Linked DNA regions of Kluyveromyces lactis. The protein of the gene in region 1 interacts with the protein of each later gene in a biochemical or structural test. Links are inferred from orthologs where the notes say so. Each region holds a gene or a part of one and is shown in the gene's direction. Other genes may lie near its edges. The genes, in order: MCM2, PSF2, SLD2, SLD5, ORC6, ORC5 and ORC1.

Region 1 (5,272 bases):
GGTTCATAAACTTTCTCTTCACAAGTGAGGAATGGTGCTGTGTGCATGAAAAAGCTTTTCAAGGAGTCACCTTCTGGAAGTGAATCCCTTAATCGTTTAAATTCTTCCCTATATCCTTCTTTCAAGAATAATGAATATGAACCCGAAGAGTTTTCCATTTCTTCTAGCCCTCTTTTCTTGGTACTTTCCAATGTCATTCCCTCGGAGTTCTGATCCGATACCAGATCTCTCCTGTACACTTTATGTGCTATGATTTTATCACACGCTTCGTGTGATAAAAGCTTTTCAAATATCGAGCTGTACTTGTCAATACAAACCCATGAGATAAATCCTTCGAAACTTGACAGTTCAGGGAATCCTGGTAGCTTTCTGTCTTCTGTAACCGGGTCTGGGTTTTCTTCTATCCCTAGAATGCAGTGATCATGAAACCAGTCCTCATTGCACTCCAAGCCAAGGACGCATTGTAACATCGTTGTCGTTGTATTCGGGTCATACTCTCTATGGCAAGAGCAAAATAACCCTTTGAAATTCTGGCCATACCTGTTACTCATGTCTGGTATATCTGGTGTAGTATTCTTTCTTATATTACAAGGTGTGAACTTCTCACCGTGTTCAAACTGCCTTTCTGTACCGCAATCGCAACTGAAATTCCTCTTATCGAAAAGTTCCACCAAGTCACAGGTACTGTGACACTGAATAGAGCATGAATAGCACACTCCTATACTGTTGCAAGTACGACATGCGAATATTGGCTGTCGAATTGGGCCCATGGAATAAGTGCAATGGCTTGGATCATATGGCATCAGTTTATTTGCTTCATCTTCCAGTTCCTCCTGTCGCTTCACATATTCTTTAACGCTAATCTCGCTCATTCCCTAACACCAACAAGACTATCTTTAAGTGCCAGAACTCACCTTGTAGTAAGAAATGCGTGAATGAAGGTACCCTTTTTGCCTTTAACTTGACGTGTTCCTTATGTTTAAATTTGGGGATATTTCATTGATAGTAAGAGATTTTCCATGTCGATGAATCAATATTCCGTATGATTTTACGTCAATATCGACACATTTGGACGGTTACCGGATGGAAATCGATCTAATATGGGGCACAAAATGCATCACATCATTCCAGAGCTTCAACATCCATACTTTACCTGCAATTGTGTTGCTTCATCGTGTGATTGGAGCTATAAGTACGGTTTTTAAGCGTATGATCCCATGTGATTATCACGTGATCCACGCATCATAATAAAGAAATTATACTAATCAAATGTAGATTGCAAAGCTAAAAGAGGTGAGAACTACCGATTGGTGTTATTGGAATATTGCCATTGCTGTATTATTAGCCCCAACGCTCTACAATGGTCAGATCGTTGCAAAACACCATTTTAGGAAATGTTATTGTTTCAATTAAAGATCATTTTCGTACATTCAACTGAAGAAAAAAGCCGGAAAAAACGTTAAGATCTTAAGATAGCTTTAGATCCCAATGGTCTGAAACAAAGTGTAACAAGTAGGTCATCGAAGCATCAGGAAGACAATTGTGTGATCGGATTTGGTAGTGCGATAATTGAAGATTATTAATTGCTGTTTTTGAAAGTGTTTCAAGATGTCTGATAATGATGAAATAAATAACGGAAGGAGGAGAAGAAGAAGAGCTGATGATGATGAGGATGAGGATGATTCTTTGTCTACACAACCCCGTGAAGGTGGCGCTAACATCCCTAGTTCTCCACAGTTTGAAGACCCGCTTGGATCTCCAGATGAGATAGATTTTGAGAATCCAGATAACGATGGAGATGAAGCTGTCAATGTTCAAGAGGATCTTGAAGATGTGGAAGAAAGAATGAATGAAGTCGATTTGATGGGTGATGATATGTACCGTGATTACGCTTCAAACACAGAACATGATACGTATGAAAGAAGAGGAGTCGACGACCAGGAGCAGCAAGAGTTGTCGCTCGCTGAGCGTAGAAGAATCGATGCACAATTGAACGAGAGAGATCGTTTGGTGCATAGGAACACAGCATACCTTGATGATGATGATGGCGAAGGAGCTGGTGCGCATAATTTGGATGCTATGGGTCTTCCAGTACAGAGGAGACGTAGAAGACGTCAATACGAAGAAGCAGATGATGATTTGTTATCAGATATGGATATAGATCCGTTGGCAGATGAGCTCTCGTTGGAATCTTTGGCAGATGTGAAGGCATCAAGTTATTCTGAATGGATCACTCAACCGAATGTATCACGTACTATTGCCAGAGAGTTGAAATCGTTTTTGCTTGAATATACTGATGAGTCAGGTAAATCCGTTTACGGTGCTCGTATCAGAACTCTCGGTGAAATGAACTCTGAATCCTTGGAAGTTAATTATAGACATTTGGTAGAATCCAAGGCCATTCTAGCCCTATTTTTAGCCAAATCTCCCGAAGAAATGTTGAAAATATTTGATACAGTGGCTATGGAAGCTACACAACTACACTATCCCGATTATACTCGTATTCACTCGGAAATTCACGTAAGAATCTCGGATTTCCCTAGTATATTGAACTTACGTGCTTTACGTGAAACTCATTTGAATTCTTTAGTTAGAGTTAGTGGTGTCGTGACAAGAAGAACTGGTGTCTTCCCACAACTTAAATACGTTAAATTCAACTGTTTGAAATGTGGTGCCACACTTGGGCCTTACTATCAGGATTCAAATGAAGAAATTAAAATCTCGTTCTGCACAAATTGTAGATCTAAGGGTCCCTTCAGAATTAATATGGAAAAAACTCTGTACCGTAATTACCAAAGAATCACCATCCAAGAATCACCAGGGTCTGTTCCAGCCGGTAGATTACCACGTCACAGAGAAGTCATTTTGTTGTGGGACTTGGTTGATATCGCAAAACCTGGTGAAGAAGTCGAAGTGACAGGAATCTATAAGAACACATATGACGGTAATTTGAATGCAAAGAACGGGTTCCCCGTTTTCGCAACAGTACTGGAAGCCAATTCAGTGAAGAGAAGAGAAGGCGGATTGCATGATGGTGATGAACACGAAGGGCTGGATGCCTTCAGTTGGACAGAAGACGAAGAGCGTGAATTCAGAAAGATGTCTCGTGACAGAGGAATCATCGATAAAATCATTTCATCAATGGCTCCATCTATTTATGGGCACAGGGATATCAAGACAGCAATTGCATGTTCTTTATTCGGAGGTGTTCCTAAAAACATTAACGGTAAGCATTCCATCCGTGGTGACATAAACATTCTACTTCTCGGTGATCCAGGTACTGCCAAGTCCCAAATTTTGAAATACGTGGAAAAAACTGCCAACAGAGCTGTCTTCGCTACAGGTCAAGGTGCTTCTGCAGTCGGTTTGACAGCTTCTGTCAGGAAGGACCAAATAACTAAAGAGTGGACTCTTGAAGGTGGTGCGTTAGTGCTTGCGGATAAGGGTGTTTGTTTGATTGATGAATTCGATAAGATGAACGATCAGGATCGTACTTCTATTCACGAAGCAATGGAACAGCAAAGTATATCCATCTCTAAGGCAGGTATCGTTACCACGTTACAAGCCAGATGCTCTATTTTAGCTGCCGCCAACCCGATCGGTGGTCGTTACAACTCTACTCTTCCGTTATCACAAAATGTCAATTTGACTGAACCAATTTTGTCAAGATTCGATATCCTCTGCGTGGTAAGAGATTTGGTTGATGAAGAAAGTGATAATCGGCTAGCATCTTTCGTCGTTGATTCACATATCAGGTCTCATCCAGACAAGGATCTGGATGATTTTGATGATGGTAACGTTCCAACGGAAAATCCTAATGGGGAGGGTGATGAAGAAACTCCGTTATCTGCCAAACAAAGACGCTTGCAGAACCTTCGTAAAAGAGAAGAAGAAATTTCGCCCATATCTCAGCATATGCTAATGAAGTATATTCATTACGCAAGAACTAAAGTTTACCCTAAGTTACATCAAATGGATATGGACAAAGTGAGTAGGGTTTATGCTGATTTGAGACGAGAGAGTGTCACTACTGGTTCATTCCCGATCACCGTTCGTCATTTGGAATCTATCTTAAGAATTGCTGAAGCCTTCGCGAAAATGAGATTATCAGAATTCGTTTCCTCATGGGATTTAGACAGAGCAATTAAAGTAACAGTGGACAGTTTTGTGGGTGCACAAAAGATTAGTGTACGTCGCCAACTACAAAGATCTTTCGCTGTTTATACTATGGGAACAATGTGAAATCAAGATTCAACATTTCCAACGGAAGAAAACAATTCTATAAGCTCAGAACAACAATATACCGTTCCCATTTTTTCCATTATAGATGCAGTACTACATCGCTTATATTAGCATAATATACAAATTTGTAACTAATAGACTTAAATAATGATTACTTCAACCTTCAAAGGAATACCGCTTTTATAATTTCATGTAGAAGTCTATAACTGATAATGTGGAGTGAAGAAACTTATTCAGCCGTGGATGTTTCAGTGACAGTTACAGCAGGTACTTCTTCTTTCTCAGAAGTCTCTTCCTTCGAAGAGTTAGCTGATGCGTCAGCTGCTTCTTGGGCCTTCTTGGCCATATGATCAGCCTTTGGATTTTGTTTGCTGGTTGTTTCGATGCCGAAAATTCTGTACAACAATTCGTGAACATCTTCTTTACAAACCATCAAGTTGATACATTTTGATCCGTTCCAAACTGGTAAAAACAAATCTTCCTTGGATGGATCATTTCTATCGACTTTAATGAAAGTGCATCCTGCACTCAGTTTTTGAGTCTTGGAAATGAATTCTGGATCGACGTTGTCCGCTGTTAAGTCTTCGTATCTTGGGAAAGCTTCAGTTAACAACTTCTTTAGAATTTCCATGTTACCTGGGACGATTCTGGCAGAGTTCATATGTTGTTTCATGATTGGTAAGGATTCGGATTGAATTCTCCAAGCACAATCAATGTCTGACCTTTGGGAAACAAACAGTTTTACACCGGAGTAAACAATCTTTAGTCTATCTTCATTGTTTACAATCAATTGTTTCAATGGAGTAGCGACGTGGTAGATAGTTCTAGTTGGTTCACCAGTAGCGTTACGAACCAAACAAGTGGACTTATCAAATTTGTCATCAATACCGTAGAACTCCCAACATTTGGCTAATGCTGGATGGTTTGGATCCACGAACACAAATGGTTCTTCATTGGCATCACGAGGTAGTTTTTCCTTCTTTTGAATGTGAGAGGCAGTAGAGGATGTATCGATTTTAGCCTTTTTTAG
Region 2 (3,681 bases), on another chromosome or scaffold:
TAGTCCGAAACATCGACAGATTAATGTGCCAGTTGTCATCAATCAAAATTAATGTGTGACAAGGACTTTTTCTTTATTTTCTAATCTGTCCAATGAACAAAAGGTGTTGAAATGTCTTCAAAATGATAAATAAACTAATTTATGTACATGTAAATTGGCATAAGTTTGATCATTTATGCCAACTTGGAGTAATATCCCTGACGTATTTAGCGTAGTCTCTCAATCTTTCGACGTTATGGAATGACTCGCTTTCCGGATTCCCATAATAGAACAATTTGAAAATACTCTGCTTCTGATCATCATTACCTAGGTCTAAAGATAAATGAAGCACTCCGGTACTTCTTTGGAAGTACCATTTATTTACTACGTTGTCTTCACGAGATCTCCAAATTAGTTCGTGTGGGAACTTGCGAAACATCAGATTGAAAATGATATCAGATATTCCGAGAGAGCCCTTTAATTTTTGTGCTACCGCAAATTTGTCCAAATATACGAATTGCTTGTCCTTTGGCCCTTCGTATGTCAAAATTGCAATACCTTCATAATCTCCTATTACGATTATGCTCGCTATGTTACCATTGATCCTGCCGAGATAATGTGATAGGTCCAATGACCTTTTAAAACTTGAATTGATTATCCCATTCAGTTTATTCAAATCGAGTTTTTTCGATACTGGGTCAGATTTGCCAGTTTGAGTAGCTTGCGATGGTGGTAGACCTATGGAATTATCATCGGTCAAAGTCCTGAAGTCAAATATATGGATATCAATCCCCTTCTTGAAAACTGTAGTCACAAGAACTGAATCGTTTGCGGAAGTGACTTCCTCTTCCACGTTGGAAGATGGAAGCTCATACCAGCTTTTCGATTGAGCCGCAGCCGATCTTTTGAATCGAGGTAAAGATGACGATATCAATGAACGATCAGTCAAGATATTATATACCAATGGGTTATTATCTGATAATTTGGACCCTGCTAAAATAGTGGTAATTAGCCCAGTAGACGAATGTGGTAGAACTGATAGCGTTTTATTCATGATTTCAAGGTCTTCCATATGACATTTCAGTTGATCGCTGTTACTAAGAATCTTATCCTGATTCAAAAATAATTGTAGAGATTCTACCAAATTCTTCTCAGTATTATCCACTTGAATAGATTCTAGTTTCTCCAATTGATTTTGATAACTGTTTCTCAATTCTCGATATTCTTGTGACAAATTTACAAAGACATGGCTGTTTGTATGTCTTTCCACAGACGGCAATCCACCATACTTGCTGATAAGGAACACCTTGTCGATATTTATGGGCAAGTTACTCACTAGAGATGATAAGAATCGAGATGGATCGCCAGCCAATTTCTTAAAAGCTTCCTTCTCATGGTACTGATATGGCTCAATAATCGGAATAATATGCGGGTTCAAAATCGGAAGTTTTACGTCAATTGAGCCACGTTCACCGATGGTAATGGGATCTAATACGATTATTGACTTCAGACTCTGATCATGCAAATGATTGTCCAAACGCTGACTTTGGTATGATATGTCTTGGCATAGCGGGTCTACTATTAAAATTGGTCTTAGTCCGAGTGTTTGAATTCTTGACACAGTCTTGCTAAACCCACTAAGTACGTTATCTGAATATTCGGACAAATGTCTCAAAAATACAAGACAGTAGTGATGATTATTCTCATCGGTATATTTGTTCAAATAGTCTTTCGCTTCCCTTTTAGTCACTGTAGAATTCAAAACGCTCATAACCAAACTCCTGCCATGAGCATTAGGTTGATGGTATCTGACCTCTGTGGTCAAACACCTAATCCATGTTTTGATCATAGCACTAGCCCACAAAATGTGCCTTTGGACGTTATATGATGAGATCAAACCATTTATCTGCAAATATGGAAAGTGTATAAAACCATCATTTATTCTAGTTTTATCAATGAGTCAAGTCATCAGAGAAAACTGCCAGTTTAAAGCTTTAGTTAGTCTTTCCTGTTTTTGTTTTTCCTGTGCTGGATTTCAATGTCAAGATTGAACATGGAAAAATAATTGAAGCACAGATATCGATTGGTCATAGTCGCGCATTGAAAGCACTATGTAAGGAAGTAGTGAGCTTGAGGACACTATAGATTAGCAACTCCAACCTGAAATAGAGATGGCACTACCGAGAGATCTATCAATAGGATTTTCTCCCCAAGAGATACAGTTTTTAATTGAAAATGAACCGACACGAATTATGCCCAGAATCACTACGAGGAAGACCAAAAAACAGCTCGCGAAGGATCCTGGCGCCCAATGGTCACTGATCACATGCGATGATTCTACGGTAAATAACATGGTTGCAATGAATAGTTGCGAAGTCACGTTATGGCTGGCTTTACTGTTAAAACAACAGGGAAAGTGTAACGTCGTGGTACCCAGTTGGCTGACGTTACAACAGCTGGAGAAGTATTTAGATTTTGAATTGAAAAACCCATCACGATTCTCCAATCTACCCTGGAATTGGCTAGTGGTATCGTCACTGCTGTTTGCCAGATGCAGCGATGATTTTCAGGATCCAGTTCATCTACTGAGATCTAAGGTCCAAGATCTGCGAGAAGTTCGTTTGGGAAAAGTCAACAAGGGTTTGCAGTACCTGAACGAATCGCATTTACAGCTAGAGAACTTGTCCTTGATGGAAATCAATGAGATGAGACCCTATGCGTGTGGTATCATGGACAAACTGAGGACAATTCATGACTCCAGTAATGACACCACGTGATCAATAATATAATAACCTTTTCCCATTGAATCCAAAATTCCATTCACGAGGTTTCCACCAGTCCCTCCCCTTAATCCAACCTACATGGTTATATGATAACACAGTTGACCATAATCACTAGAAAAGGTCGGGTTACCATGTAAGTACAGGCCTATCAAATAACACATATATTACATACCCTACATGTACCCGCTTCACAGTTTGTAGTAATTCGAAACAACTGATCCATCCCGAACATTCACGCACTGCTTAGTTCTTATTTACGTTTGTGTCGCAAACATGCCTCGCGGGCATGCCTTGCGTGTGCACCCCACGTTCTTGCTTCATCATATTTGTTGTTCTTCAGGCTATTTCGGTTCCTTGCATTGAACTACGGGTATAACTTACAGAAAACGACACAAGGGGGGAACACAAACACGGAAACGAATCACGTTTCTTCAATATTACGTTGGGAAAAGAATTTACCGTAGATAGAAAACAATAACAGTAGAAATTGAGCAGGATGAACTCATAGAGAGCAGCATGGTTGCGTTGATAACTTCCCGCTACGAAGACATTTTACCCGTAACTCTGTGTACCATGTCATAAATACAGCTCAGCATGTTTATAATATATATATATATATCTTTAGGTATATAATAAACCCCGGAAGAGAACAGAGTTGGAAACTCGGGAAATAAAACAAGTGACCTTTGATTCAGTTTATTTGCTCTGTATATAACATGATATTTATAGTAGTTTTTGCTTCCATGGCCATTCTATTTTAGATAGAGTAACCAGCTGAATCCAGTGTTTATCTAGCTAGTTGTTAAAGGAACACGGAATTTTAAAAAAAATAAAAAATAAAGGGTTCTCATTCCTGTGCGTTATCTTTGTTTTTATTTTAGATTTGGGATCTGTCGGCTTTTTTAGCGGGTTTAAAATC
Region 3 (4,224 bases), about 110 kb from region 1:
TGCTCTGACTAAGAACCCTGGTTCGAAACTTGGCGATTTGCCAATCGATCTCGATGATTCGTTGCCCTCGTCATTGCTGTTGAAACTCAGCGAAGATGACGAAAATTCTTTTATGAACTTAAATTTGAATAGCATAGATCCAGACGATCCTTTAAGTGAACATGTTAATGATACACCGTTTGTAGCACCAACACTAGAAGAATTAATGGAAGAACAAGACGACAAGGATTCAAAGTTGTTAGGTCCTGAAAACACTGAACAAGATATGGACCTTCTCAAGATGGGTATCTTTTTCTCGGACTAACACTTTCTTATTCTGCATATTACAATCGCTAAACTCTGCTTTTGTTTCTAGTGTTCTACAAAAAAGCATATACGTGAGCTTTGTTGACCAAAGGCTGAAATTTAGTAACATTTCGGATATCGTGTTAATTTTGTCATATTCCATTCTAATCTGTTGCTGTTATCTTTTGCCGCAACATGTGCTTACTTTCATTCCACCCTTACATTTTCAATTCCAAGTTGTAGTCAGCCTTATTGTTTCCCATCCTTTCTTTGACGATTTGTCAATTATGTTATCCCCGCTAACCATGTTTTTCCTTCATTTAACACCGTTATTATTCTCGAATAATGAGTACGTCAAGCACCCCCTTTTAATGACCCCTTCCAACGATTCCAATGACAATAATGTTTTAACGACACAATAATTTACCTTTATTACCCACCGATTTTTTTTATTATTATTATTATTATTATTATTATTAGTATTCACGGTCCTCCAATCTCGTTTGATGAAATGAATGACACGAAATTACTCTCCCTATCTATATTCATTATATTGCTCTTATTTATAAGTCTATATGTACATTTGTTCTCTGTTTCTCTCGCGCTAATGAATTGACATATTTATCGTACACATTGGACACAATTCTCTTATATCAGTAAAACAGAATCTACCTTAGTCCCATTAGAAATCTTTATTCTAGATTCGGTTACTAAACGAGCAGGTAATATTAGATTTCCTTTAACTCGCTTGGCGTTGTGCAGTTCTATGAAATTCAGAGGTTGGTATGTTTGTACCACTTCTAAATAAAGGTTATACCATTCTGATTCCTCTTCTTCTTCTTTCTTCGTGGGTTTTTTCACCTGACCATTTATAATCCATTGAGGCCTGATTCGTTTCAACAGATGAGACAGGTCCCACCATATGATATACTTCACTTCTTTTAATATCAACATCTTGCAATGTTGTGGTAAAATAAGGTTATTGAGGTCTATGAATTCGCAACCTGATAAGGAAAGACATTGAAGTTGTTCCCATTTTTGTAAATCAACAACAGATTTGTACCCCAAATCCCTCAACGTATACAGCTCTAATTCGAATATATTTTGTCGGACATTGTATACTATTGTCTTACCAGGGTTCTCTCGAACTCCTTGAGTATTAATCAGGTTATTAAACATGTTCTTCGATTCAATGCGAAGCATGTGCAAGTTATTGAACGACTCCATGCATGGAATGATAGAAACGACGTTCTCATGATCTAAATCCCAGCAATTGATGAAACTAATATATGAAACTGTATCAAATAGCCAGCGGTGTTGTATCTCTTTGCATAATTCATTGACATCATTGATATCACTGACGTTAATTCCTAACCTCAAATCTTGTTGTGCAATACTCAAAAGATGGCAATACTCGTTAATGGTATAACTCACCTGTAGAAACTGCTCATCTGTAGTGAATATTCCTATTTCAAGCTCACCTGACACTACGATCCATTGGACACTAAACCATTGTTCCTCATATTGTAAACAAACCCGCAGTCGATCAGTAAGTATTATGTCATGTCGAAGCAAATCGAAGTCTCGGCACCAATTGGGAATGAAATTTGGTATATAGTCATATACACCAATATGTTTAGAGTACTTATCCACCAGAGATTGATTGAACTCCCTTATATTAGGATAGGCAATAAGCTCATCGTTAAAGATATCTGATTTAGCAGGTGGTCTTACATTTTGCACAACGTCGCCCAAAAAGAAGTAAACAGTATACCGTATATCGATTGGTAAACTGAGGAACAGCTTGGTATCAAACATTCCATCTCATGTGCCCTGATTGACCTGTGATCGTGAATCTTTTGCAGCTCATTTCTCTTTATTCTTCTTCATGGGAAACTTCAATAATTTACGCGTTTTAATTTCGTTCTTTGCCTTTATTCTAACGACCTTTATGAATGGAATAAAAGAGACAGATACAGTAAATGCACCGTTGTTACTCGTGATATCAAGCGCTAGTATGGATGCTCTTAAGATTGAGATCAAGCTGTGGGAGCGTGCTTTCGAGAAAGAGCATGGAAGGCTTCCTGAGAAAGATGATATAAAAAAGGATAAAGAGGTCAAGAGAAAGTATAAACAGTATGCACAGCTCAAGAAGGATGCTACTGTTAAACCATCGGTGGAGGTTAACGTAGAGCAAACACCAGTGAAGTCGCATGTGAATAACACAAAGGCTGAATTCGGACCGACTCCTCAAATGAATGGGAAATTAGTTAGTATATTTGAGATGCAAGTGTCTGCCATGAAAACTCACCAGTCGGATCAAGAAGATATAGTTGGCTCGCCAGTAAGATCAAATGACCTGGTAAGGCGCCAATTGAACTTCTCAATAACGCCGAACTCTTCTCCAATGAAGCAAGTTCCAAATCTATCTGCGAATATTGTTGTGTCAAGACCGAAATATGGACCAAACTCCCCAATGCGGATCGGCGATATTGGATTGCAGTTGTCAGAAACACCAAAGACGCTTGGTAGAACCCTGGATTTGAAAAGTTCTCCCTTCAGCCCATCGCCGCTGATTAAAAGGCCGGTGAAGACACTGTCCCAATTAGCGAAGGAACATGCCATTATAAAAGACGAATTCGAATCTAACCCAGAAGATTTCAGCGAATTCACTGCGATTAGAACGCTTATGGAAAAGCTGATGCAGGAAGAACATATGGATATAATTGAAGAGGGGGACGAGGGAACTGTCGGCAATGAAACTGAGAGCAATTATGTGCGGAAAGTTAAAACCATAAAGAAAAGAACAAAAGCGAAGATGAGACCAGCAGCATTAAACGAGAAGTCGACCAACATTCCAGACAAAAATGTTCATGAACAGCTAGCAAAGTTGAAGGAACGTGAGTACAATAAAATGCTGGGTAAAGAAGTGGAAGAAAGTGAGTCTGACTCTGAACAACAATCCAATCCACCCGTAAAGAAGAAGCAACGTAAGAGTAAATACAACCTTGTTAGCAACAACTTCAAGCGTTTGAATCTTCCAACAAAGGCAGGAAGAAACAGAGCCAGTAAATGGAGAGGAAGAAGGTGATTTCTTCAAAGTCAGAACGTTAAAAACAAAGAAACAGACGTAACGAACGGGATGATACAGTTGTTGCAGTCTATGTACTATAAATGTAAATAAATATAATCTTTTACACGCATTCCTTTTTGTTATAGATCAGTGTAGAAAGGATTTTATCAGTTTGTTAACAATTGGAGCATACCCTCTATCTTTTGTGCTTCTTTTGCTTTGCGGATCTCTTCCCTTACTCTTTTCTTTAGAGTGATTACCATCTCTTCAAGTACTGGGGACTTCTCCAGTACACTACCGTAGAGTTCAATTACAACCGCAATCCAGTCTGCAACAATTGGTGCACTTCTAACATCTTCTATTCCCTTCAAGCACCAGTTGAGTAGTGGTTCTAGAGAACTTTCGTCTCTACCGTATAATGCAACCTTGATTTTACCTCTTTTCCTTAGTTCTTGTAATACCGTTAAAGTTAATTCTTTAGCCATACCGGGGATAAATGCAGAATCTAATGCGTCAGACCATTTGAATTGGTTGATATGCCTTTCGAATTGACGCAACTTACGCTGAGGATTTGGCTTATCGTTGTGTATAATATGCTCTTGATCACCTCTGTATTCGGACCCTCTCATCATTCTCTGGAAATTGTTGGATTTCGCAGACTTCTCTTGCTGTTGTAATGGTAAATCCTCCAAATCAGAGACATCAGCGAGGTTAATCTTTTTGGACTTCTTCTTCGTCTTGATGGCTAGAATTCCTGAGGATAAACCTGCAACGAAATGTTTATTACCTTGCGCATCGCCTGGTGAGACTGCACAACTTAGCACAGCGTTGCTAAACTTCCAGCCAAACTTGAATTGGAAGTTCTC
Region 4 (4,103 bases), about 140 kb from region 1:
GATATTTGTCTTAGTCATGTACTTTGTGGGTCTGTTGGCATTAATCCCTTATCGCGAGTGGAAGGTAAGAAGAATGTTGAATGCACGGATATCCGGTAAGAACGTCGATGATAAGATTCGATTGAAGTGGCATAGAGTACTAGAGCCCGGTGTATTGAACTATTTCAAACGTGCATTTTATCTAGTAAGATGCTGATGGCCGTTTGTAGCTAACTTAAAAATAAAACAATCTCCTGCATGTTGTAACATCTGCTGTTGTTACAAAATTACTCTTACTTAATAATTAAATAATTTCCGATCAGTATTAATTAATACACTGCATTTCAGACAATAATTATCATAGATTGTTGATAACATAGCAGTATATGGTGCTGGCAGTTCCGCATAGCACAAGTATACATGCATCCTCATTGCAAATTACCTCAAAAGAGGAGAATTCCTTCAATGGGGTATCAGACGGTAGTATGACAATATCTTTGGAAGTTTCGTCTTCATTTAACTGCCAATTGTTTTGAGTATCTCTACTAAATCTTAAGGATTTGATTTGAAATGTGAAACTCGTTAATAGAGCAACATAGAAAGAGCCATTTTCGTTAATCCACTGAGCTTTTATTATCGCATCATCGCACTCTATAACACTTACTCTTGAATTGCTGACCGCGTCCCAAAAAATACAATCACCATCAATGGAGTAAGAGAAGAAAAGATCATCAATGCCAGCACAAGCGACCATACCAGTAATTGGACCTTCGTGGAATAGAGAAGCATCATCCACATTTGAGGTGAAGTTTGGTATGAAACCATTGTTTCCTTCACTAATTTTGTAACACCCTTTGTTATCACCTTTTAGAGGTAATTGACACACTTTGTAAATAAAGCCATCCTCGCAACCAAGATATATGGAAGAAGGATCAGATGGCAGCAGTAGCATACTAATTATGCTCAGTTCGTCATAAAGCGACATTATCAATAGGTGTTGGTAATACTTGTTATCTTTTTTAGTCTGTTCAGTAGAATATGATAAGTCCGTCCTTGGGATAGGAATAATTTTGACATCGTCATCCTCTTTTAATGATAAATCTAAGGTTGATATCAGCTTAAGTTGGCCATTGGTGCTGGCCGCCAGGATGCTATGGTCATTGAATTTTGGAATTATAATTGAAAGTACCGGATAGTGATGATAATTAGTGGAAACAATATTTCTTTCCACCTGAAAGCTATTATTTATTTTGACTGTTCGCAGTTCATATAAGATGAGTTTTCCTGTATAGCAAGAAAGAACGACGGAGGTAATCTTAGAATTAGGATTATCAATAAACTTGCTCCGTACAACATTCTGACCTTGGAATAAAACTGTATCAAGTACCTCACCAGAAGAGACGTGTGTGATTTGAACTAAAGAGCTTTTCACGTATTTGGTTACAAGATGAATCACAGTAACCAGTAAATTATCTAAGACGTCACTGGAAATGACCCTTGCTTCAGAAGTTGAATCAATGGCAACTTTTGGTGAAATTGATAAATACATGCTTATTTTCCCATCACCAGCGATTTGATGAGAAGATGACTTGAGCGCAGCCGCTTCTATAGTCTCCTGTAGTGAAAATGTTTCTTTCTTCAACGTTGCGTAGTCTTCCGCTGAAACGACATTTCCGAAATCAAACACATCCTTTTCAACAACTTCTTTATCCTCCTTGGTCTCTGTAATATCTGAAGTCGATGCTTGCTGTTCTATAAGATCTTGGGAAGGTAGATGTCCATCTTCCATAATTTCATGTTTCCCGTCATATTCATCTGTCTGTATTCCGATATCATATGTTATCACAGCCTCCTTAACAGCGCTCAATTCAAACTCATTTACATCATCTGTTTGCACTGAGATCTCAACAGTTTTTACTTCTTTCTTGACTTCAGATTCGTTGTTATTTATGGAATTGGTGATATGGGAAATGAACGGAAGGGTACAATCTGCTATCTCTTCATGTTTCGAATCAATTTTTTTCCTTTGCAGCTGAAGAGCCTCTATTTTCTGCTTCATCAACTGTAAGCGCTCATTCTTGTCCATATTTCTGGGTATATTCCCCCTGAGGTTGGTGTTGCTGATGAGCGCTTCTTCACTGACGCGTTTTATCTTGCTTCATGTATGGATTTGTTAAGCGTAAACAAAAGATGATAAATAAGATTTGAGTATTATCAAAAATACGATGTTACAGTAAGTTGGATGAATTTCACAATAGGTTGGAGGATAACACATTGCAAGTAAGTCCTTCTTGTCTGAATACACCTTTACAGCAATTATAAAAGCCACCCCGGTGTACTATCCGAACACTTCCTCCGCTTTGAGTCCTGGTGGTAGGATCATATTTCTTTAGTACAATGAGCATTGATATTGACGACATTCTAGCTGAGCTGGATAGGGACACTACAGCTGTTGAACAAAATGCTTCTTCATACCCAGACCAAAGCGATCGAACTCAAGGCAATGATGTCTCTCAGATAAGACCAGCAGATAAGGCGGTTGACCCTGTGGCTCCCACACAGTTTAACAAAATTGACGACTATCAAAAGCTAATTACACATTGGAAGAATGAACGTATGAGTCCGGAGCTGCTTCCATATCCACATCATCTCATGACTAGGACATTAATAAGGATTCAAGAAAGAATTGAACTAATAGAAACACTATCAATGGGATACTTAGAAGATAATCAAGAGTTAACTGTCGATTCAAAGCTACCACTTTTATGCATGGAAGCAGAACTTGAGAGATTGAAGTTCCTAGTTCGATCTTTCATCAGATGCCGGTTAAGCAAAATTGACAAATACAGCATTTACCTAAGACAACAATCCGAACTACCCAATAATGCGGGCCTCAGCAGACTAGATTTATTGATGTCCAAAGAAGAGGTGAAGTACCATATGAAGCATTCTGACATATTACTAAAACTGTTTAACAACGCAGTACTTAAGCACTTACCAGAAGAACTGCAAGCCGTTAACGATACTGAGGGTTCCATCAGTATGATTGATGAACCCGATTGGAATAAAACTGTATTTATACTAGTTTGTGGTGGGGTAGTTGACGAAAGTGGTATTGATTCGAAATTAACGACCGATGATGATGGAAAACACTGTTACTCAGTGATTATTGAAGATTTAAATGAAGAAATTTACTTATTAATCGGGGCAGTATACGTAATACGTTATAGTGTAATACGAGATCTCATGACTGAGGGACGAGTAGTTTTAATATAATGAAAATTCTGAACAGTATTACTGAACCTATGACTCTTCGAAAAATATAGGTTTGTAACGAATGTTTGCCAGCAATAATTTCTCAACAATGTTATTGCGAACACAGCATGTTTTCTACCTAGTGTTATTGACTGCTGGTCTATAGTGCTTTTGAACCAATTTGTATTAGTATTACATCAATTAACGTTGAAAAGTCTATCTAGCATACTCAAAGTGTACCTATTTTTCATATTTACTGTATGCAAAACCCATCCGGCAAGCATATGATCAGCTCAGAGAAATCCTTCAATATCTGGTTTCTGGGCTTGGGCAAGCTTAGCCCTTTTGGTTGTCTGCGGTTGAGATTGAGATAACGACACTGAATGTATTCTTTTCAATCCTGTAGTCGAGTTCATCTCAACGACAGAATCTAATTCCTCGATATTTTGCGAGTTGGCATCTATGTTACTGGAAGAGGACTGGTTTATATTAGATTTGGCATGTTGTGATGATCTAGACTTCATAAATTCCATAAACTTAGGGACTAAAGCTAACTCCTCCTGTGTCTGTTTATGTAGAAGTGTCTTGTTTGTTTTCTCATTGGTATCCAGCTTCCCCTCGTGGAACAAACCAGTGGTATCATTGAACTCAAGCTGGAAAGAAACAGTGACATCATTGATTTTATCCCATATAATTTGGATTTCATCGCCATCATGAAGTAAGATCTTTGTGCCCGGAGTGATTTTCTTTCCATTAACATAGCTTGAGTTAGTACCACTTTGGCAATACCATACATCATCAAGACCTTGAGCTGGAGATTCATAAATACTGTCACCGACAGCGTGTCTTTTCTTCAATATGAAGCAATG
Region 5 (4,288 bases), about 1.1 Mb from region 1:
CGATTCATATCCAGATGACTCCGGAGAGTTTTCACCGTTTGAGCCAACATTGAGTGAATCCACTGTATCTTCTCTGGTAGAAATTTCATCATTTAACAAATGCGACATATGTTCCACCTTAGGTTTCTTTTTACGTTGATGATCAGGAGATTCTTCAGTGTATAAATGACGTTTGCCTAGATCAGCTTTCCTATCTCTTTTCAGCTTTTTTGTTTTAGACGCAGGTCCGTATAGACTGAAAATATCAAATTCTGCGGGTTTGGCCTTTATCGTTGTCTTCTTTTGTGATTCCTCACGCTTCTTCTTCTCATCGTCCAGTTTCTTCTGCCTTTCTACAACTTCCGGGTAGTTAGCAGGATTTAGCGTATCAAATATAATTGGACCTACAAGCCTTCTCAAGATATCACGCTTAATGATATTATGCAAATCTTTGAGAATTTGTTTTGTGGAGGCTTCTAATAGCTCTTCCGTGCTTGAGTACTCTATCTTTCGAGGTTTATTGATATCTCTTTGGTTAGTGATATTTGATTGAAGTCTCCTCTTTGGTTCAATGAAAGTAAATTCTATTTGTATGGGAGAGTGAGTCCTATGCGAATTTATGACCAAGGCACCTGATTCGTACTCTAAACATGCTTTTGCATTTTCCAGATCATGAAAAACAATATATACGCCAGTGTAGTGATCAATAATTTTGGCCCAATTGTACTTACGAAGTTGATATCTGAAATCTGCTGCATTGAACCTATGATAAAACGTAATCTTTGCAGGAACAAACAAAACTGGTCTGTTGTTCACAACTTGAGTTAAATCGTATGGCACTCCTCTTATTACTTGAGGTTTCTGCCCGGATGATTTCTCTGCAATGGCCCGTTTCGCTTTATTCACTTCTGTCACTCTGGCTGCGTTCTGTTTGATTAGTTTGTCCTTTATTGAATTTAACACTGTATTTTGGTTTAAAATGACATTGAACTTGATACCTGATACTGTGTAAGGTGCGTCTTTGAATTTCTCTGATGCCTTATAAGCAGCTTTATATGGAGCATCAGGTTGAGAAACTGGACCAGTGAATTTTATTAGATAGACGTACAATGGCAATGCACTATTTGGATCCATGAACTGTTCAAAATGCGCTATTTCACCAAATGATTTAAAGTAGTTTTTGATTATTGCTTCAGATAATGCGGCTGCTATTGGTTGTTGGTTAGATGCAGAAGGGTATACTATGATTTCTTTTGGAGGTTCAGGACCAATGTAGAAAGAATCATACGGAATTCGCGAGTTGCGTACCAATGCACTTCTAAGCTTTCTATATCTCTTTTTCGCAGAAATGGACCCAGAGACCGCATCCCCATTCATAGGACGTATTCTCGGATCCACCGAAGTTTGTTCAGGCTGCCTGGCCATGAGTATTGGTTTTTGCTTATCCGATGCAATCAACTCCGTTGTTGTCACATATCCATGCTCAGGAATCTTCTCAGATTTCCATTTCTTGAAGCTGGATTCATTTCGTAGTCGTTTACTTACAATGTCGTAATAATGATATTTTGTATTAAACTCATCGCGATCGTATTTCGCACTCACTACTGGACGCGTTGCGAAGGGATTACGAGGAATCTCGCTGATACCACGCGACTGCGACCGTATTGGACGAGATTCGTTCTCATTATTCCTAAGTTGAGACCCAAACCCCTCGCGGGAGTATCTTCGGTTCCCTGATCCATTCCGTTGGAAGCCCTTGTACCTATTCCCATTTTCTTGATATGCATATCGTCCGGTTTGGTACCGATCATTATTCCCATGAAAATGAGAGTACTGTCTATTATAGTACCCACTCATGAGAACTAAAATATACACACACGCTGGAATAGCAACTTATGCTAGATGAAATACTAGAAGTATTGCCAAAACTGAACTTATAGATGGAGAAGCGAATAATGATACTTTTGATTAATATTCAATTTCATTATTTACCATATTTTGTTTCAATATTGGAGAAAATCGAGAAAATCAGAAAAAGATCAAAAAGCTACATAAAGACTGTTTTTAATATTATGTTAAAAATGGTCCATGGAGATGAGATGAGATATATGTCTTTTCCGGGCCAGTGTAATACAACAAGTGAGTAGATGATCCTATTTTAGTCACTTTAGAGTGCTAAGAATCCGTGGAAATAATTTAAGATGTCTACGCAGCAAGTACGAACGTGTGTAACCGATTTATTAGGGGTCAAAAATGATTCTAATGTTGACTGGCAAGACCAACGGTTAAAGAAAGTGGCTTCTACTACAGCAACATTATACAACGTTTCAGTATCGAAAGTGATGCTGAAGAATTCAGAGGAACTTGCTCGGTGCCATATATGTGCACTGATTGCGTTTCAGAAACTAGCTGAGAAGTATGACAATGACCTACCATATTCTCAGGAGAAGATCCCGCTTCCACCAGACCAAGTATCCAAACTTGTGAATATATTTAAGAGAAACATATGGCCTCATTCGCCGCAAAAGGATACCGAAGGACAATTGCTGAAGTTTGATGATACTGCATCACCATCGGTTAGAAAGTCAGCGGTTAAAAATGCAAGATTCACAGGGATAGATCCGAAGTCGTTACAAGAACAGCTATTCCAGACTCCGTCGAAATCAAGAACTAAAAGTGGTATCCAGCCCTTGAAGAATGTTGATCTTTCACCTAGCAAAGGGAGTAGGTCAAGTGTCCGGAGGAAATTAGTGTTTGAAGCTGATACAGAAAATGGCCTTCCGTTGCCCATATTAGCAACCCCGAAGAATAAGACTGATATGATCAATATACCACAAGTGTTTGGATCAGTTGAGGATGATCCTGAATCTCCATTAAGACAGTCACCCTTTCGTGACTCCCCTTCTAAATACACGCCTTCACCAAGAAAGAAAAGAGGTAAGTATAACGAATGGAACATGCTATACAAAAAATACTATAGACCGTCTACCGCTGAACTGGTGACTCTGTGCAATGAATTTGAACTTCCTGAAGAAGTAACAGCTACCATAATTTCCGAATTCAATAACAACGCTACTTACCTAGCGTATCCTACACAGTTGGTTTGTGGTCTGGTACTTCTTTGCTCGTTCGTTGTCTTCAACCAACAGAGAAATCAGGACAGTACAATCGATAACAAGCTAATGAAGAAGATGGCGGCACAAATGAGAACAACAAATGATGAAGATATCATGGAAGCTATCAAGATCACAAAAGAACTAATAGACGGTGAGAAATGGTACCGAGAACTCCGTGTCAAGTTCGATTATTACGATGGATCGGATTTCGATAACGCTATCGCCGTCAGAATAGGCAGCATGTTACAAGACGAATATGAAGTCGTATCAGAAGAGCAATACTCAAACTGGAAACGAAGAATTATGGTCGACCTCAGTCTAAGAGATGGCACATGAATGGTTTCCTCCGATACCTTTCTTCTCACCGTCCCCATCTTCGCATTTATCATTCAATACGTTTTCATTACCTTTCTAATGAATTTTTCACGTTGACGTTTACCGAAGGGAACGGCAAGATGAAAAAAAAGAAGATAACTAAACATAGAGAGCGCAGATGAGATGAATTGAAGAGAGACATTACCGTCTGTCAGAACTCTGGAGATCGGATTACTCTTCGAATAATCAACTGCGAAGTACGTACCGAGTAACTGGTGAAATGACTGTTGAGTTGAAGCGAAACCTACTCGAATCATCTGTTGAAGACATTGATCTTGAATCCAAGAAACAGAGGGTCGACAATGACGTCGATCAGAACACAAGTAGTGTAGACGAAGATATTGATTATGAAGAAGACTATGATGAAGTGAACGATGTACCTATAGATTCAGGCAACTCTTTATTCAATAACAACGCTAAATGGCAAGAAACTATCTCCAAAGTTGTTAAGTCGGTGGTCTCAATTCATTTCTCGCAAGTCGCACCTTTCGATTCAGAAGCTGCCTTGGTGTCGGAAGCAACAGGTTTCATTGTTGATGCAAAACTCGGTATCATCTTAACAAACAGACACGTTGTGGGTCCAGGTCCATTCATCGGATACGCCATTTTCGACAATCACGAAGAGTGTGATGTCATCCCTATCTATCGCGACCCAGTTCATGATTTTGGGTTCTTGAAGTTTGATCCATCGAAGTTGAAATATATCGAGGTCACTGCACTAGAGTTGAAACCATCTTTGGCCAAGGTTGGTTCTGAAATCCGTGTTGTTGGTAACGATGCTGGTGAAAAATTGAGTATCTTGTCAGGGTTCATCAGTA
Region 6 (4,551 bases), on another chromosome or scaffold:
TGAACTAAAGCGTTTACTGAAGGACCTTTCAAAGATGCTGCAAAATATTAAGGAAGAAAAAGGATCTCACACAATGGTGATTCTACAATCTCCATATACCCATAGAGTTGCTAAATTGTTGCAGCCTTTGAATGCCTTCCCTGTTGTTGAAATAGCTACTGCTGAAACACATTTGCCAGCTTTGAACTGGCAGGGACAATTAATGAGGAAAGCGGTCAATCACATATTGTCTCTTGGTTCTTGGATCTCAAATTTGATTACTCTCTCAAAATACAGCAACATTCCAATATGTAACCTCAAAGTCGATAATCTCGGATACATTATCGATTTGATGTACGCTCGCCAGTTGAAAAAGAACAACATCGTTCTATGGTGGAATGATAAATCGCCGTTGCCTGACCACGGTGGCGTTGAAAGAGATTTTGACCCACGGAAAGCGGAGCTCATGACTGATTTGGTGTTCCCTATTATGAATAACCCTGATATCTATGATGACGTTATCTTCGAAATTAGTGTCTATAACTCTGTTGTGAACACTGTTTTGAGCAGCACCATGTTGAACGAGGCTGAAGGTACAGACCTTGCCCAAAATTCGACATCTAAGGAAGAATCCTTCGGTTTTGTTGAAGATTCTTTCTCTTCTTCGGCCTTGTCAGTGCTTCGCGCACTGTTGAAAGAGCTTTGGGATGATGCCTTAGGTGATAATATCACGGCTGACTCATTAGTACACGCATTTATAGGATGGGTGTATAACCCTGACGCGAAATTATTCGATTATGCTTTGAGATATCACATCCATACTCTCACTCAAAAGGCCGTGTTACAGTTGATCAATGAATTTAAGCTGGCAGGATCATCTCTCATCTTCGCAGACAGAAACAAACTGTTAATCAAAACTCAGAAGCGTTCCGTTGAGAATTCTTACGCCTATGGGCAGTATCTCATGAAAGCGATCAGATCTAAACCAATGTTTGCCTATCTAGACTTGAAAATTGATAGATATTGGGATGTCCTGATTTGGATGGATAAGTATAATTATGGTGGTAGAGCATGTCTACAGATTGAAGATAAAGAAGTTCAGAGTTTCCAGGCTTATTCTCATTGGCATATAAAGGATTTCTTACCTGCAATTTATCAGCAAGAGTTTGATGATTGGTTAGTAGTCATACTGGATAGTATGGTTAAGACAAAGGAAGCCTATCATGAGCGAAATGCATCCACACAAAGATTAACCCAATTACCAAAGAATACACTGGCTGATAGTGACGTAGATAGTCAAACTGACTCTCTAGGCGGTTTTACCCATAATTTTTCAAAAGCTCTCATCAAAAGAGCAGAGAAACTTTACAAGAACCAACAGGAATATATTCTTGATCCTAACTTCGGCAAGGATTATCTATCTCCCACAATTCCTGGGTCGCATCTAGTTGTGAAAAATCCGCTTCTTGAGTTGGTCAAATACTTATCACATATTTTATCACTTTCCAGTAATCATTTATTAGAAGGAAGGGCGCTAAGGAAAGAACTCCTAAAGACATTTGAAATACGCGAATTCGACAGATTAGCTGAATTCAAGGATCCAAGTACATCTTTTGTGATCCCTAGCTTCATATGTGAGCATTGTTCTTATATATCAGATATTGATATTTGCAGAGAAAGTATGGAACGAGTCTTCATATGCCAGAGCTGCAACAGATCCTTGAATAAAAATCTCATTGAAGAGCATGTGATCGAACGACTTCAAGCCCAAGTTGCATCGTTTATTACCCAAGATGTTAAGTGCAATAAATGTCATAAGATCAAAGAGGATGCAATGTCACCTTATTGTCCATGTTCAGGAAAATGGGAACTTGCCGTATCTAAGGAATCTTTCATGGCACAGTTACAAATTTTCAAGAACTTGGCGGAAAGCTTTGACTTTAGAACATTGAAAGAAACTTTGAATGATTTCTTATAGGTTCAAGTCCCTGGCATCTGTTGTATTATCTTTTAGTCTGCTGATGTGTTTACATTTAACATTTATGAGTGTTTATGTGTTAAAATAGATCTGAAAATAAAAAATATATATACACATAAAGGAAATTGTTCTGAACTTAGCATGGTTGAATTCTTCCCACCTGAATGAAGACGCACTATGTGTTATTTACTGCGAATCAAGTGACCCAGAATGGTACGACCTGATGTTAGATATAGAGAAGAACAACTAGATTTTTTGGAAGCGTTTGTCGATGCCGATCCAAAACTGAGCCCGCCAATCTTGTTCATAGAAGGGCCGCATGGAAGTGGTAAGACACATACCCTCAAGAAGTTTTTTGCTTGCAATGAAGAAATCATGAACATTTTACTACCAGCGAAAGATCTGATATATAGCAAATCCACCTGTCAGCGGTTGGCTACATGTCTGCGTCAATTGCTACTGAAACAATTTCCTAGTGTGGAAACCACTGATCTTGATCCATTTGAAGCCGAGGACGTATATCTTTTGCAGAAATTTATCAATAAATTGTTTATCCGATTTAATCACTTGGTAGAACGCGTTAACCTTTATGTTATACTCGATGGGCTGGATGATAATTCACAGGTGAACTTGGAAACACCTACGCAACTCATGGCATTACCTGGATCTATTCTTCCACAAGCGATGATTCAACTTCGGTTAATAATCTCGTTCTCCAAATCCTCATTCTTGTCCAATTACTCAACGTTCAAGGTTCCCACGATCTTCTTCCCCAAATATAAACCACTGGAGATTGAATATATTGTATCACAAACACCAGGTTTCTCGGATGACCCGCTGTTATTGGAAAAAATGGATGAGATAGGATGCGGAAATACAGAACAATTCAGGAGTGAAATCTTCGAAAAATATATCCATTTCCTGATAGAATCATTAATTGTATATACAGGTTATGACCCCACTGCACTGATAGACATAATGAGAATTAAATGGAGGTGCTTTGTACGATCTTTAAATCAAGAGAACATTAAAAATACAGTACAGTTATACAAATCTAACCTGGAGCTATTCAATAAACCTAACGAAAGACTAATACCACAAACCAGCCGTTCGGATCAAAATTCACTAAGTGGTACCGGGTCTGTTGGTTATTCAAGCCATTCTCTTTGTTTCATGGCAAAATATCTTCTAATAGCCGCATATTTGGCATCATATTTGAATCATCGGTACGACTCTAAAGTCTTCTCCAAGAAGAGTCATCTAAGGGGGGGTAGATCATCTTATGGGAGAAGAAGCAAACCAGCGAATAACCCGAGATACCTTCAACCATCAGGCTTTTCTCTTGAGAGAATGCTGGCAATTTTCCAATCGATATACCCAGTCAGAGTTTCGAAGGAATTGTCTCCAGATTTCTTTCAAAGAGATGTTCATATGAAAGCAAATGTGGAAGTCTACGAAAACGTGTCCGAATTGATTACTTCTCAACTTCTTACCGGTCTGAACATGCACAAATTGGGGTATCTTCACGAAAGACTTAAGTTTAAAGTTAACGTCACTTGGGATTACATATTACTAGTGGCTGGCAGTGTTGATTTTGATATTTCAGAATATTTCAGTGATGTTGTGGAATAAACTCGGCATTTGTAGTAGTTATATGATTGTTGCATGCCGTTCTTTTTTTTTCGATCTCATTTTACTCTATGGAATGCTTCTTCAAATTTAGGTATTTTTTATAGACATTGAAATTGATACGTAGAGAGAAACAACCATAGATTCAGATATTTGACATACCAGCAAGCAGAAAGCAGCAGCTTTCATTGAGTATGAATGTAAATAAGGGATCATCTGATCAAAATGATAGATCTGTAATTACCAAATCTAAGGATAAGCTTCAGGTCAAAAAGACTGACTTCAACGCAGATAGCTATGACGATCACTTCGAGGAATCAGACTACCAGGACATTTCTTGCAGCGACGACAGTAGCGATAATGAAGAAGAAATAGAAGATTTCGTACGAAGAGGTCAAACCGAAACCGATGAAATCTTTGATGGAAATTCCTCAGAGATTTCAGAATCTGACAGCGCTGTTGCTGATGATTCAGTATCAGAAGAAGAAATAAATGGTAGTAACGTACAAATAGAAGCCTTCAACATGGAAGAAGAACTGAAAAATGGGACCGTAGACAAGGTAGGGAATGCTACGGGAAAAACTATAAATGATGATTTTGAAAATGAGGACCAATGGATCCAAGACTTTTCTTCGAAGGAGTCAATTAAAAGGGCAAGAGAAGCTCATGAAAATAGCCAAACTCTACAACGGAAGAAGAGGGCTAGGATGTTATACAGACTAGAAGAAGTTCTCGAACAATTGTACTATTTTGTACCGAGAGGGAAGACAATTCAAGAAGCATTGATTTTGCTTCAACAACTACGGAAAAGTTTACCAAAAGAACATAAGGAACGTACAAAATACATTGCGAACGCAATACAGATCATTCTAACTTTAGTAAATGTGCTGGAACAGAAGGGTATAGACAATCCCATGCAATTGCAGAAAGAAGGAATAAGGGAGTTATATGATGAAGAAAATCTC
Region 7 (5,453 bases), on another chromosome or scaffold:
ACCCAAACGAATCAAGTTCGTTCGAAATCTTTTGACGAATGTTGATTGATAGTATAGTAAAGTTTATGACTGCTACTAAAGAGCAAATAAACACCAATAGTTTCATTAGTGATATAGAATGCAGGAGGATTTTGGTTTTCATGGTTTGTTCAGGTCTATTCCTGATCATGTAGTACAAGACAATCGATCCCAATATGAAAACTTCCAATACTGCCACGACGTAAAGTAGATTGACCATGTTGACTTTTCTTCTCGACAAAGCAGCCAAAAATTTGTTGTATTTTGCACTTTCTGCATTGTCGTGATCCAAAACACCATCGTTGTAAGTATATCCGTATGCGTAACTTAACACTATTCCCAAACCTAGGTCATCTAATAGCTTTCTATAGTTCAATAAGTATTGCGCTCCTTCCCTGTGACAAGTCATAGCCTTTGTAGAGTTATGTTCCTCCTTCCAAGTACCGTCAGGCTGCCATAATTCTTGAGAAGCATGTTTCATGCTGCACCATCCGTAAACTCCTGTCTTTATATAATCGGGCACGTCGTGGACCTGTGAGTCTACATACCGCGTGAGTAAAAGAATCTCTGCTGTTGTGAGTCCTGCTCCGTTATTAATATCAGACAGTTTTGCACTGACAACAGAACTGCTGAGCTTATCAAATAGTCCCTGCAAAATGTTAACATTTGAAGTGTCCAATCGTCCTAAATATAACGAATTTGGTGATGCGGCAGAAATAGCAGTCAAAACAAGGACAAAAACGATAATTCCCACTGAAGTTATAACTCGCAGCCATAACATCATCTTATCAAATGCGTTGAGGTGTCCTAGGGTCACTTTTAAGTATTTCCATAACGATATATTCCTCGCCAAGACACTTCCAAACCTCATTTCTTTTTATAAAGCTCCTAAAAGCTTCTTATGTATGACTCTATCAACGTGGGAAATTGTTCAATTTTTTTTCCAGCAGGCCAGCTGCCTTTATTCTTCTGTGTTTATCTGCTTCACCTTCGTTAATTGACTGGCAGAATTCATTCTGTTTATCATGTCATCACTCTTGAGATAAATCTCTTGATCTGTTTCTGCCAGGGTTCAAGGTTTAAAATTAGACGTCAGGAATGGGAAAACTATGTATCATTTTACACGTATTTGATGTTTCAAGATCGATCTTAATTCAGTAAACAGAGGAACCGTGTAACAACCAATATGCTATGAGATAAAAGAATGCTACGGAAACAGGTAGCTGTCATTTCAACATACTTGGCCAGCAAGTAACTACTACTAGTTTAGGAAGGAATTACTGCATTTTAACGGTTATCTGATTATTTTTCCTTTTTATTCCGTGGTAGCGAGTTTATTAGGCATGGCGTCAACGTTAGCTGAGTTTGAAGTTCAATGGGAAATACAGAAGACAGACTTGAAGGGGAATCTCATTGCTGAAACTCCTAGGCGAAGAAGAAGAGGAGATGCTACAGAACATGAAGTGATTAATTTGGTACGATACGATGGAGTCAGACTTTATCCTGGTGTTACGATTGTGTGCAAGGTAGAGGGTGCAGACGAGTTATCAGCGTATATGATCCATGAGGTGCGATTGAATACAAGCAATTACGTAGAACTCTGGTGTTTGAACTATTTGAGTTGGTACGAGATCAATGCTGCGGAAAGATATAAACAGCTTGATGGAGAGTTTTATGAGACTAATAAGGAAAAAGGTGACAAATTTTTTGAGGAAACCTTCGCGTCACAATCGATAAAGAACGAATTGTATTTGACAGCTGAGCTTTCAGAGATTTATCTACGGGACTTGCAATTTGTAGCTAATATTAAAAATGAAAAGGAGTATTTAGACTCTGTCAATGAAGGGAAAATGGATTCTAATATGTTTTTATGTCGATCTGCATGCTTGCCTTCAGGAACTAATCTGGCGGATTTAGATATACATTTCTTTGAAGAAAAAATACGTTCCTCGAATCCTAAGGTGTCTCTGGAGTATTTGCGTGATATTACTTTACCCAAGCTTCCAAAACCTTTAAATAAATCCAAGGTCCACGCACGAGAGAAGGTAGTGGCGACGAAATTGCAGTCCGACAACACACCAAGCAAAAAAAGCTTTCAACAAACAGTGAGCAAAACCAACGCTGAAGTCCAACGCATTGCATCTACTATTGTTAACGAAAAGGAAGCTATATCAGATAATGAATCGGATTTATCTGAATATCACGAAAGTAAAGAAGAGTTTGCAAACGCATCCTCTTCGGACAGTGATGAAGAGTTTGAAGATTACCAGTCTGCAGAAGAGCTTGCAATTGTAGAACCTGCCAAGAAAAAGGTGAGATCTATTAAACCAGATATACCCATTTCACCAGTAAAATCACAGACTCCATTGCAGCCATCAGCAGTTCATTCATCTCCTAGAAAGTTCTTTAAGAATAATATAGTGCGCGCTAAAAAGGCATATACTCCATTTTCCAAACGGTATAAGAATCCGAAGGATATTCCTGACTTGAACGATATTTTCCAAAGGCATAATAATGATTTGGATATAGCTGCATTAGAGGAGAGATTCAGAACAGTTTCTGCTAAAGGCAAAATGGAGACTATTTTTTCTAAGGTGAAGAAGCAATTGAACTCAAGGAATAGCAAAGAAGAAATTGTCAAAGCTGCTGATTTCGACAATTATCTTCCGGCAAGAGAAAATGAATTTGCAAGTATATACCTCTCACTTTACAGTGCAATTGAAGCAGGCACTAGCACCAGTATTTACATTGCCGGGACGCCAGGCGTTGGTAAAACTTTGACGGTTCGAGAGGTAGTTAAGGATTTAATGACATCTGCAGACCAAAAAGAACTTCCAAGATTCCAATACATTGAAATCAATGGTTTAAAGATTGTCAAAGCAAGTGATAGTTATGAAGTCTTTTGGCAAAAAATATCTGGAGAAAAGCTTACATCTGGAGCTGCCATGGAATCTCTGGAGTTTTATTTTAACAAAGTTCCAGCTACGAAAAAACGTCCTATCGTTGTGTTATTGGATGAGCTTGATGCATTAGTTAGCAAGAGCCAAGATGTAATGTACAACTTCTTTAACTGGGCTACCTATTCAAATGCGAAACTTATTGTTGTAGCTGTCGCAAACACCTTAGATCTCCCCGAACGCCATCTTGGTAACAAGATTTCGTCCAGAATTGGTTTTACTAGAATTATGTTCACTGGTTACACGCATGAAGAGCTTAGAACAATCATCAATTTGAGACTTAAATATTTGAACGAATCTAGTTTCTATGTCGACCCGGAGACAGGGAGTTCGTACATGATCTCTCCGGATAGTAGTACTATAGAAACTGATGAAGAAGAAAAGCGAAAAGACTTCTCTAACTATAAACGACTAAAACTTAGGATTAATCCTGATGCCATTGAGATTGCATCAAGAAAAATTGCTAGTGTCAGTGGTGATGTGCGGAGAGCTTTAAAGGTGGTCAAAAGAGCGGTAGAATATGCGGAAAATGATTACTTAAAGAGGCTTAGATATGAGCGACTAGTCAATTCCAAAAAAGATACTAGTGGCAATGGTACAGGAAATGAAGAATTACAGAGTGTAGAAATTAAGCATATTACCAAGGCATTAAACGAAAGTTCGACCTCTCCGGAACAACAATTCATATCTGGTCTGTCATTTAGCGGAAAACTTTTCCTATACGCATTAATCAATTTAATTAAGAAGAAGCAAACTGACGTACAACTTGGTGATATCGTAGAAGAAATGAGGCTCCTCATTGATGTCAATGGGAATAACAAATACATTTTAGAGTTGAAACGGATTTTATTCCAAAATGATTCTGTTGATACAAAGGAACAGTTAAGGGCCGTGTCTTGGGACTATATTTTATTGCAATTATTGGATGCAGGTGTTGTAGTAAGGCAATATTTGAAGAATGAGAGGCTCTCGACGATCAAATTAAATATTTCCATGGAAGATGCGGAGCAATGCTTGCATGAAGATGAAATGTTGAAGACATTTTAGTATATGCCTTCAAGACGCCTTTGCTGCTATTATAATTGCTACTTAGGTTGTCATGTAGCGTAGCGGTTAAGTAGAATATGAAACTGCTTTTTCAACTATTTAATTATAAGATAGAAAGATATAATAAAGGATGCATTTTTTTAACTACTATTTTACCGTGTTTATTCATTCTTTACCCTCCCGCTTCGGGCAAGATGAAACCGTTGATCACGTAATAGGAGGTAGGTGATTTACGATGATGGCGGAGGGGTATGCACTTGTCTTTTTGGAGAAGAAGGTCGCGAAGGACCGAATGATTTGTATATCAGTAAGGGCTCGCCGATCTGTTTATATTCCGGTACTTTCAGAGTTAGATTGAAAGCTTTTGCAATCACGACCTTAAATATTTTCTGTACGTTGATTGATGATTGGGTCGAGCAAAATATCAGAGGCGATTTCATAACTTGAGCGTATTTCATCGCAGTTCTAGATACATTTTCTTGATATTCGGGGTCCATATCGACGAAAAGGTCATATTTAGTTCCAACCAGAATTGAAATTGCTGTATCATTGAACCCCCTTGCTTGTCTGTACCATTCTTTTATCGAATTTAAAGTCTCTGGCCGCGTCAAATCGAAAAGAAATACTATTGCAACTGCACCTTCGGATACTAAAGGGAGCATATTGATAAATTCACGTTGACCTCCAAGATCCATTATGGAGAATATAACGTCTGTGGATCCCAGCACCACTTTCCGCTCGAGGTAATGCACCCCCAATGTCTGCGTATATTCCTCATCAAACACATTTTGTACGTATTTGACCATTAAAGAAGTCTTTCCAACTTGTGCATCACCTATCAGGCCAACTTTCACCTTGACCTGGTGTCTAAGGCTCGGTACTCGATCTTTATCCAGAGACATTGCAACGAAAAAAAAAAGAGTGTTATCTGTAGACTTGTCTCACTGCTCTGTGTGTGTATATATCTGTAGCACACAGGATGTTTTAAAAGATACAATTGAACTTGGATATCAGCACGTATTTGTATGTTTCTATGTGTCGTTATGGAGCATACCGATATGTGTGTAGATTCTCATTATTTACCTTTAAATCATGGTAGCATGAGAAATGGAAAATGACAACATTGGGACTGTTGTTCGCGGTCACGTGTTGCTTTGACATCCGGACACCATTGTATTCATAAGTTTTACATCCATACATACTGTGTGTATCTTCAAATTTCATAACAGTAAGATATTTTGCTAAATAGGAACTTTGTTTACTGCTGTCATGTGACCGGGTGAGCCTAACACGAAAAATTAGGCTCAATCTCTAGGCTGAGAGGGCAGGAATTCCTGGCCTAGCTCGACAGAACGCTCCACAGTAGGAATCTCTTCCCAGCCTCCACTGGCTGACTGTAACTCCCTTTCCCCTCCCTTCACTACACCATTC

Evidence for each region.
Region 2: the proteins of MCM2 (region 1) and PSF2 form a complex in vitro, tested with the Saccharomyces cerevisiae proteins (2 studies listed by BioGRID). The link is inferred for Kluyveromyces lactis from reciprocal best matches to the Saccharomyces cerevisiae genes MCM2 and PSF2.
Region 3: the proteins of MCM2 (region 1) and SLD2 form a complex in vitro, tested with the Saccharomyces cerevisiae proteins (3 studies listed by BioGRID). The link is inferred for Kluyveromyces lactis from reciprocal best matches to the Saccharomyces cerevisiae genes MCM2 and SLD2.
Region 4: the proteins of MCM2 (region 1) and SLD5 form a complex in vitro, tested with the Saccharomyces cerevisiae proteins (2 studies listed by BioGRID). The link is inferred for Kluyveromyces lactis from reciprocal best matches to the Saccharomyces cerevisiae genes MCM2 and SLD5.
Region 5: the proteins of MCM2 (region 1) and ORC6 form a complex in vitro, tested with the Saccharomyces cerevisiae proteins (3 studies listed by BioGRID). The link is inferred for Kluyveromyces lactis from reciprocal best matches to the Saccharomyces cerevisiae genes MCM2 and ORC6.
Region 6: the proteins of MCM2 (region 1) and ORC5 form a complex in vitro, tested with the Saccharomyces cerevisiae proteins (2 studies listed by BioGRID). The link is inferred for Kluyveromyces lactis from reciprocal best matches to the Saccharomyces cerevisiae genes MCM2 and ORC5.
Region 7: the proteins of MCM2 (region 1) and ORC1 form a complex in vitro, tested with the Saccharomyces cerevisiae proteins (2 studies listed by BioGRID). The link is inferred for Kluyveromyces lactis from reciprocal best matches to the Saccharomyces cerevisiae genes MCM2 and ORC1.

Annotation. Positions count from the first base shown.
Region 1 is NC_006042.1:1,164,680-1,169,951, reverse strand, and holds MCM2 (MCM DNA helicase complex subunit MCM2), read left to right. Parts: upstream 1-1,608; coding exon 1,609-4,242; downstream 4,243-5,272. Other genes in the region: KLLA0_F12606g (uncharacterized protein), read right to left, coding at 1-872; NCL1 (tRNA (cytosine-C5-)-methyltransferase), read right to left, coding at 4,472-5,272. UniProt on the Saccharomyces cerevisiae protein: Acts as a component of the MCM2-7 complex (MCM complex) which is the putative replicative helicase essential for 'once per cell cycle' DNA replication initiation and elongation in eukaryotic cells.
Region 2 is NC_006040.1:557,673-561,353, reverse strand, and holds PSF2 (DNA replication protein PSF2), read left to right. Parts: upstream 1-2,150; coding exon 2,151-2,756; downstream 2,757-3,681. Other genes in the region: ARG2 (acetyl-CoA:L-glutamate N-acetyltransferase), read right to left, coding at 170-1,828. UniProt on the Saccharomyces cerevisiae protein: Functions as part of the GINS complex which plays an essential role in the initiation of DNA replication by binding to DNA replication origins and facilitating the assembly of the DNA replication machinery.
Region 3 is NC_006042.1:1,277,396-1,281,619, reverse strand, and holds SLD2 (Sld2p), read left to right. Parts: upstream 1-2,173; coding exon 2,174-3,376; downstream 3,377-4,224. Other genes in the region: transcription factor HAP4, read left to right, coding at 1-304; CTF13 (Ctf13p), read right to left, coding at 934-2,103; snoRNA-binding rRNA-processing protein UTP15, read right to left, coding at 3,526-4,224. UniProt on the Saccharomyces cerevisiae protein: Has a role in the initiation of DNA replication. Required at S-phase checkpoint. Also required for the proper activation of RAD53 in response to DNA damage and replication blocks.
Region 4 is NC_006042.1:1,022,602-1,026,704, forward strand, and holds SLD5 (DNA replication protein SLD5), read left to right. Parts: upstream 1-2,376; coding exon 2,377-3,255; downstream 3,256-4,103. Other genes in the region: KLLA0_F11077g (uncharacterized protein), read left to right, coding at 1-196; PAC11 (dynein intermediate chain), read right to left, coding at 338-2,065; serine/threonine/tyrosine protein kinase RAD53, read right to left, coding at 3,528-4,103. UniProt on the Saccharomyces cerevisiae protein: Required for DNA replication. Functions as part of the GINS complex which plays an essential role in the initiation of DNA replication by binding to DNA replication origins and facilitating the assembly of the DNA replication machinery.
Region 5 is NC_006042.1:2,245,809-2,250,096, reverse strand, and holds ORC6 (origin recognition complex subunit 6), read left to right. Parts: upstream 1-2,180; coding exon 2,181-3,431; downstream 3,432-4,288. Other genes in the region: histone methyltransferase SET1, read right to left, coding at 1-1,836; NMA111 (Nma111p), read left to right, coding at 3,691-4,288.
Region 6 is NC_006039.1:233,875-238,425, forward strand, and holds ORC5 (origin recognition complex subunit 5), read left to right. Parts: upstream 1-2,167; coding exon 2,168-3,589; downstream 3,590-4,551. Other genes in the region: POL2 (DNA polymerase epsilon catalytic subunit), read left to right, coding at 1-1,957; U5 snRNP complex subunit LIN1, read left to right, coding at 3,781-4,551. UniProt on the Saccharomyces cerevisiae protein: Component of the origin recognition complex (ORC) that binds origins of replication. It has a role in both chromosomal replication and mating type transcriptional silencing. Binds to the ARS consensus sequence (ACS) of origins of replication.
Region 7 is NC_006038.1:453,356-458,808, forward strand, and holds ORC1 (origin recognition complex subunit 1), read left to right. Parts: upstream 1-1,361; coding exon 1,362-4,022; downstream 4,023-5,453. Other genes in the region: ECM7 (Ecm7p), read right to left, coding at 1-889; Ras family GTPase TEM1, read right to left, coding at 4,253-4,924. UniProt on the Saccharomyces cerevisiae protein: Component of the origin recognition complex (ORC) that binds origins of replication. It has a role in both chromosomal replication and mating type transcriptional silencing. Binds to the ARS consensus sequence (ACS) of origins of replication.